Linked DNA regions of Danio rerio. Each later gene encodes a partner of the first gene's protein in a complex. Links are inferred from orthologs where the notes say so. Each region holds a gene or a part of one and is shown on either strand. Other genes may lie near its edges.

Region 1 (4,200 bases):
GAAATGTTGGTCGTCAGCGTTGCTGGAGAAAGCGAGGTGAGCGATAAGAACCACTCCTCACTGACAAAGCTCCACAATTCGTCCCATATATGAGCCTGTTAGTCCTATTTTGACCTATGCCATCATAAATAGTCAAAATAACCCATCGAAAAAAGCTTTAAGACCAAGCAGAATCCTCTGTTGGCTGTCGCTTCCAATAGTATTTGGATGCAGCCTTTATGATGCAAGCGATGTGAAGGACCAAAAAGTGGACCATATTAAAACTGATTTGAATACCAATTTGGCGATTGTTTTTATCCATGAATTTTCAAATGTACATTTTTTACAAGAGAGGCTTGAAAAAACTAAAAATTATATTTTATTTAGTTTATTAGGGGAAGATGTTAATATTCAATTTGTATTGAACAATTTTCTAATTTTGGAGAAATGTTATATTCATAAATACAAAAGCCTTAAAACAAAAGTTATACTGTAAATTTTTAAAGTTGGTAAAATCAAAACTAGGAAGAAGACTGTTTAGTTTATAATTTTTTTATTAAAAGAATTATTATTAATGTATTTGGTTTGCGTTTCTATTTTATGTTTACATTTTATTTGTTTGTATTATTTATTGCTTATTGATTTGATTATTATTTGTGTTCTGTTCTGTATTTGTAGATAAAAGTTGTTAATGGAATTTTGCCTTATTGTATTTGTGTTGGCAGCACAGTATTGCAGTGGGTAGCACAATCACCTAACAGCAAGAAGGTCGCTGGATCGAGCCTCAGCTGGGTCAGTTGGCATTTCTGTGGAGTTTGCATGTTTTTCCTATGTTTGCATGGGTTTCCTCTGGGTGCTCCGGTTTCCCCATAGTCCAAAGATACATTATAGGTAAATTGAATAAGCTAAATTGTCCGTATAGTGTATGAGTGTGTGAATGAGAGTGTATGGGTGTTTCCCAGTGATGGGTTGCAACTGGAAGGGCATCCGCTGCGTAAAACATATGCTAGATAAGTTGGCAGGTCATTCCGCTGTGGCAACCCCAGATTAATAAAGGGACTAAGCTGAAAAGTAAATGAATGAATGAATGTATTTGTGTAAAAAAGTACCATAACTGTTAACATGTAACGTTACTTACCTCAGAAAAGCAGAATAAATAAATATATATTGAACAATGAATGGGAAAAGGTGATGTGTATCATGTGACTTATTGAGAACTGCAGCTTTTAAATCCATAGTCGGATACAGAGCGACGAATGATTTCAGTGAAGTACCCAGTCGCTCGCGCGCCCTCCTCTGACGCGGCATAGAATTGGAGGATATGACGAACTCACGAGCCCCCACAATTCCCCGCGCAGATCCGCTTTCCCTTCCTTGAGAGTTAAGATGGCGGACCGGCGGCGACGGAGACGGCGCGCCTCTCAGGACAGCGAAGAGGAGGACGAGTCCGCCTCGGGTTCCGAGAGCGGGAGATCCTTCTCGGCTAGCCGGAAGACCCGCGGAAGAGAACCGGAGCCGGTGGAATCGCCAGCGGAGCGCGTCGCAGCCAAAAGCGACGATGAGTCGGAGTGTGTGAGTGTGTGACTATAAATCTGCTTTTATAATCAGGGGCGATCCGAGTCTGTGCGATGTGTTCTGTTCACACGGATTCAACTCGGAGTTCGTGTCGTTTAAGAACGGGTTAAGACGTAAAGCGAACGGAGACGGTTCATGTGATGCGATGTTTTTATATCTAGCTCTTGAGGAAAATGTTAGCAGGCGTTTATTCCTATCGGATATAACGTTGCAGTTCCTCATGGATCTGTGGTTCTCCTCGACAGTAAATATGAGGTTGACCTCATTTGACCTCAGATGTTTTGTTGACCATCTTCTAACGTGGTGATTCTTCATCCTGATCATTGAGGCCCCCTGTCCTGCAGTTTTTACATGTCTCCTTTTATTCTACACTCTTTATTTGGTTTATTTAGCTCAGTAGTATTTTATAGCACATAGAAGAGACTATTGTGTATGAAATGTGTGTTTTAGAAATAAAACTAGTGAAATGAATGTCTAGTGTCATTTGTAAGACCTCTAGGAAGAGAAGAGAGACATATTGATCACTAAACAATAGTACTTGTATGAAAGTGGGTTAATTTGTAAGTGTTGTGGCAGAAAACGGCGGTTTAGCTGAAGTATGATGTGCAAGATGTTTCAGGGTAGGTTTTGATAAGCAAGTGGATGATGTGGGTTAGATCAATAATTCATAGGCATCATTTTTTCTTAAGAGTCCTTGCTTGTCAGAATATCTGATTCTGTCATTCTGATCTCTTTTACTGTTTAGGTAAGTGAAGATGGCGTTGGTGAAGGTGAGTTTATTTTAAATTCTTTTTCTCACTGTTTTTTTTTGTGAGCTTGTCTAAAATGATGTCAATTGTATCAGCCTTTTTAAAAGAACCCCCACATATACTATAGTCTAATGATTAATGAAATGCAACAGTTTTAGTGTGCATGTGAATGTTTAAAAAAAAAAAGAGATCTTGTTTATCATAGTGCCTTAAGATTTGTCACTGGTTCAAGTGCACACACATCACTGTAATTTATATAAGAGGACAGAATGGACCTCATTACAGTTAAGGAGAAAACAACATATTTTAGTTTTAATTTTAAAGCTTTAGTTGGTAAATTACCACAGGAGAAATGTTCTAATACTTACAGTACCAGATCAGCAGATATACTCTTACTTAAGATGCCATTTTTTACACAGAGTTAGGTCGATCTGCATTCTCCAAGTATGCCCCATATGTATGGAATGAGCTTCAAGATATACTATGTATTAAAATCCGTACTATCTATCGCTGTATTTAAAAATCATTTTGAAGACTGTCATTTTAGAACATGTTTAACGATTGATTATTGTGTGTGTGTTCATGTGTTGTGATATGTATTTAATATTATTTTTTGTTAGAACTTTTTCTTATGCTGCCTGTCTTGACCAAGATTTCCTGGTAGAAGAGATATTGTATCTCAATGGGACATTCCTGGTTAAACAATTAAATAAATAAATGTGATTTCATTCACTTGCTAACAGGCTAAGTTGTTATGAATTACTAGTTTCATGTTGTTTGAACCCAAAATTGTGCACAGATTTGCTAAAATGGCTGATTTTTGATCTTCAGCAGTGTTATCTGACTATGACAGCGCTGATCTGGAGGAGAATGGATCGCACACGGAGGTAAGTCTCTATGGCAACTCCATTTTGTGGTCTTGTTGCGAAATCAATCAGTTCTTTACAAGACAATGGTGTGATGAATCTGTATACGTCCAGACTGGGCTGTCAGACTGCTTGCTGGTGTGTAGAGAGAACAAAATGTCTCGCTTTGTGGCCGATCTGTTTTGCTCCGTCATTGGGAAAGTGCTGTAGTTTCTTTGTGGAAAATCTAAATGTGAGCATTTGATTGTGATTTAACCATTTCAGTTTGAAATTGATAATTCTGATAAACAGTATTAGAAAAGATGCACACTGAGAGAGATGTTTGGTAAGAGAGTTTAATGGGGTTTTTGTTGAAATCGTGTCAGGAGTATTTTTGCTCATCTCTTGTGGCGTCATGAGTACTGCCAATGCCGAGCCCCATGCTGTTAGTGCATCTGTAGTCCTCATCTAATTTTAGTAGACATGGCATGACACACAATCCACACTTTTTTGCTGCTTTTACCCTATGCAAGTAGCGTTTTGATGATTGCAGGTCTCATTTTTAGGTAATTTAGACATATTAGCGAGTGCTATGGTTCATTGGTTGTTGTTTCACACCACTGAATAAGGCTGTAGTTCTCTGCTTATCTGCTTCAGTCTTGGCTGCTGATGTTCCACTTTGTTTGGTGTCCTAGCAACCCTTTCTATACCATCTTTACCATTCGGACTGACGTTAAGCAGACTTTAATTTACTGCAGACAAGCATAGTCTGCTCTGAGTTTCGAAATGCAATGTCTAAACAAGATTTTTAAACCTGGAATAGTTTTTGTTTTTAAGCTGATTGCACAGAAATTTGTGTTGCATGAGGACTAAGGCTACACATTGCTGGAAAAATAGACAATGTTGTTGTTGAGTGTTATAATTAGGAATGCTCCGATAAGGATTTTTGCAGCTGATACTGAGTACAATTTCCTTGTCATGGGGATTGGCTGAAAGAGTACAAATTCTGATCCTTCAAGCTTTATAATGCCTAAAGCAACATTTACTCTCCA
Region 2 (4,032 bases), on another chromosome or scaffold:
ACATTAAATATAGCATTTTAAAATACTAATTTATTTTAACATGTGAACAACAGCATACAGAACATCAGCACATCTTCAAGCACCTGCAGCATTTCCAACGGCTAGGAAAAACAGAATAAACTAAATAAAAAGAATCAAAAAATATTCCTGCCCTAGATATCTTTCACTTAAATGACAAGTTTAGAATACAAAATGAAAACACTGACTGAATCCTTTTTAAGAACCGGCAGATGTTGTTTGTCCAATCACGTTTTTTCTTCCGTTAAATAAAAATAGCAGGCTACCTAAAATAGATCGCTCCACAGAAAATATGCATCGGAACTCGACAACTGAAACTCTGCTTTTATTTGATTGGGAAAAAAAAAAAAAAACACGAAACTGACATAACATGCCTTTTCTGCTCAGAGTTGACCTTTTTCAACAGCGAGTACACAGCACACAACAGCTAAAATGTGAGGCGTGCAAGGCTCCGCAAAACGCTCAAGGCCCATTAGAAAACCATTCAAAAGATGCCGCTCTTAACACAAAAAGCGTGTTTGCTGTGATTGACTCCTTATGCAGCCAAACTTTTTAAATACATGCAATATTGTTTATCAGTTAAAAACACACCCTTTCGGTTAACGATTAATAAGAGTATCCCTATTCTGAAATGCTTATCTCTTAAATATTTAGCAAATTCTCATTGCTTTTTCATTCTATATTTGACAGCAGCACAACTGCTGAAATGACCCCATAGACTAATTTAATTCAAGCACTTCCAAGGATTAGTGTTAGTTTTGAAGAATTTTCCAGTCCTTGAATTTGTATGTCTGAAATTCAAGAAGAGTGGGAACCCTGAATATAAAGCATGAGGCAAGACAATAAAGTATTTATTTTGACATCATTTTAACTAATAACAAGCCCAAGTAGATTATACATATGCTGTGTGTCATTTGGATGCAGACTTCAAAGGTGAGTCCTCACAGGCCAAACAGAGCATTCTGAACTGAGATGATCTAGCCTACAAAGGACAGATCTCATCACCTAGAATTTATAATAAAATTTGAAATGACTTTTTTTTTATTGATTTAAAAACATATTTTAAGCAATCTGAAGGCAAAGCAAGGTTTACAAAAGCTGGGAGTCTAATTCCTTAAATCCAAACATGTAGACTTAAAAATGTAAACTGTCTATAACAGGGGTCACCAATCTCAGTCCTGGAGGGCCGGTGTCCCTGCAGGGTTTAGCTCCAACTTGCCTCAACACATCTGCCTGGATGATTCAAGTATACCAAGTAAGACCTTGATTAGCTTGTTCAGGTGTTTGATTAGGGTTGGAGCTAAAATCAACAGGACACCGGCCCTCCAGAAACAAGTTTGGTGACCACTGGTCTATAAAATCACTTTTTAGTAAGACGCAGCACCCTTTGAATACATCCTTCAGAGGATGCAGCCCATGAGTTCAAAATGTTACTTTTTATTGGAATTCCTTTGTTTCTGACATTGACTTGAAAAAATATGACTCATTCTAAATAGCTACTTGAAAAATAAGATAAAGGAAGTTTCATCTAGAATTATTCATTGTACATATCCAGTGAATACTCTCTTAGTAAGATTCCTTACTATGGGAAAATGTTTGGTTTGGCTAATTATAAAAAAAAGAAACTTTACATGGAAAAAAAAATCTTAATCTTTTTATCTTATTATGAAAATTTTATTTATATAAATGTAAATTTTCAAAACCAATACCTTTTTAAAAATATTTTGCTTAGTGCAGTATTACTTGAAACTAGTCAAAGGCTTTTTTTTTTGTATTTTTTTCTTCTCGATTCTCTTTATAATTTACTCTGATTGTATATTCTCAATTTAATAATAATAATAATAAAATATGCAACCTCTGAAATGAAATTAGAGTTACACTTACATCTCTGTGGTCCAGGCTCATCTCCATCCTGTTCTACTGTGTCATAGTCCTCTCTGACTCTAGATCTGGCTCCTTCCTCTGAGAAATAAAGCAGCAAACATAAGCACATGATGCATTAAGACGATCATTTAAACGCGCGCGCACGCACACACACACACACACACGCACGCACACACGCACGCACACACACACACACACACACACACACACACACACACACACACACACACACACACACACACACACACACACACACACACACACACACACACACACACACACACACACACACACAAAACTTACCAGATCCAAATCCACGACCTTTCCTCTTCTTGGCTTTCTCTTTTAACTTATGAATGCTCTCTGAAAGACAAAGAAAAACAATCATTCATAAGGGTCATGCTAACCTGTTAACAAACACACTGTATGTAACGTTACATTTTAAAAAAGAAAACTTTTACAGAAATGATAAATGACTGAATAAAAAGTGAAGAGAACATTCTTTAAACGCGACTACAACATAGTACTAATTTTCCATAAGTTTTGAATCTAAATCTGTATTATTAGTAGTCTTAAAACGAAGATTGGCCGTCAAATACATTATTCTAAGGCCAGAAAACAAAAACAAAGCTGAATCACTACAACGCGCGACTGGTTTGAATCAGCTAACTATTAGCATGCGCGCTAAGAAGACAAGGCCGTCAGAAGAAAACACGAGTATTGCACACATTCACCACTAGTAATATTCTGATAAAACATATAATCACATAAATAAAGATCTATGCAACAAGTAAGTGTACATAAAAACTGTACCATCGCCATCCTCGTCCATAGGAAAGTCTTCGCCTCCCGCTTCATGAAGATCCAGTACGTCCGCCATGATGCTTGCTTGTGAGTGAGAAGCGAGTGAGCGGCTGTGAGCATGCGCAGAACACTCTATACGACACTGCGTCACATTCAAATGCTGGTCGAAAACCTCGCCGTCTGCTGTTTTGGAGGTGTAAAAGGAGAATACTGTTTTTTGTTTACTTAAAAAAATACATTTATTGTTAACGATATATGCAGAACAATTCTAGACTGTAAAACAGAATAGTTTGTTGCAATCGGTTTCCTCAAATAGTTTGAGTTACATTAACTTTTTGGGTTTGGCAGTGTAGAGGTGTACATAAAAAGATGCAGAGCATAACAGAGGTTTATATAACTACATAGACTCAATTGGTAAAACAAAGTAAAAAAAAATCAAATAATTAAATATACACATGTTCAAGGTTCAAATAAACTAGAAATTTCAATAGTTCAGACAAAGCAGGGTGAATCAGCTTTTTCAGCTACTATGCCCCCCGCTTCTGGAATCAAATCAAATCACATCAAATCAAATCAAATCAAATCACTTTTATAGTCAAATCATCAGCACCACGTGTGCTATGATGAGTGAAAAGCTTAGGTGCTGGCTCCAGACAGTACAAAATACAGATAGTGCAAAATACAACGAAAGTGCAAAATACAGACAGTACAAATACAACTGTGCAAAATACAACAGCATACTCCCCATACTTCCCCTCTGTGGGATGTGTTAAGTGTTCATCAGCCTGAAGAAACTTTCCTTAAGCCGGCTAGTGCGTGACTGGATGCTGCGGAACCGTCTGCCTGAGGGTAGCAGAGAGAAAAGTCCATGGCTTGGGTGGCTGGAGTCGCTGATGATTCTCTTTGCTTTCTTCATGCATCGCCTGGTGTAGATGTCCATGGAGGGAGGAAAGCTCACCTCCTACTATGCATCCAGCAGTTCGCACAATCCTATGTAGGCCTTTGCGATTGCTGCTGGTCCTATTTCCATACCGGAATCAGCTTCCAGAAATGATCAGATGTGCTCCACCATTAGGCACACTTAAATCAAGACTGAAAACACATCTGTTTAGCTGTGCCCCTACTGAATGAGCACTGTGCTCCGTCCGACAGATCGTACTATTGTTGTTCTCTTCTTTTTCATTCTTTTATAACCTTTTTTAAAATCATTTTTATTTTTGTTTTTATTTTTCTTATGCTTGTCTCTTTTATTTCTGTTTATGTAAATCACTTTGAATAGTGACTGTATATGAAATGTGCTATACAAATAAACTTGCACTGTCTTGC

The links.
Region 2: casc3 (region 1) and rbm8a share a complex: the UniProt entries of both Homo sapiens proteins name them as parts of the mRNA splicing-dependent exon junction complex. The link is inferred for Danio rerio from reciprocal best matches to the Homo sapiens genes CASC3 and RBM8A.

The regions. Positions count from the first base shown.
Region 1 is NC_133178.1:22,199,160-22,203,359, reverse strand, and holds the start of casc3 (protein CASC3), read left to right. Parts: upstream 1-1,351; 5' UTR 1,352-1,365; coding exon 1,366-1,551; intron 1,552-2,299; coding exon 2,300-2,324; intron 2,325-3,134; coding exon 3,135-3,190; intron 3,191-4,200. UniProt on the Homo sapiens protein: Required for pre-mRNA splicing as component of the spliceosome. Core component of the splicing-dependent multiprotein exon junction complex (EJC) deposited at splice junctions on mRNAs.
Region 2 is NC_133191.1:50,390,032-50,394,063, reverse strand, and holds the start of rbm8a (RNA-binding protein 8A), read right to left. Parts: upstream 2,804-4,032; 5' UTR 2,783-2,803; coding exon 2,716-2,782; intron 2,266-2,715; coding exon 2,206-2,265; intron 1,981-2,205; coding exon 1,903-1,980; intron 1-1,902.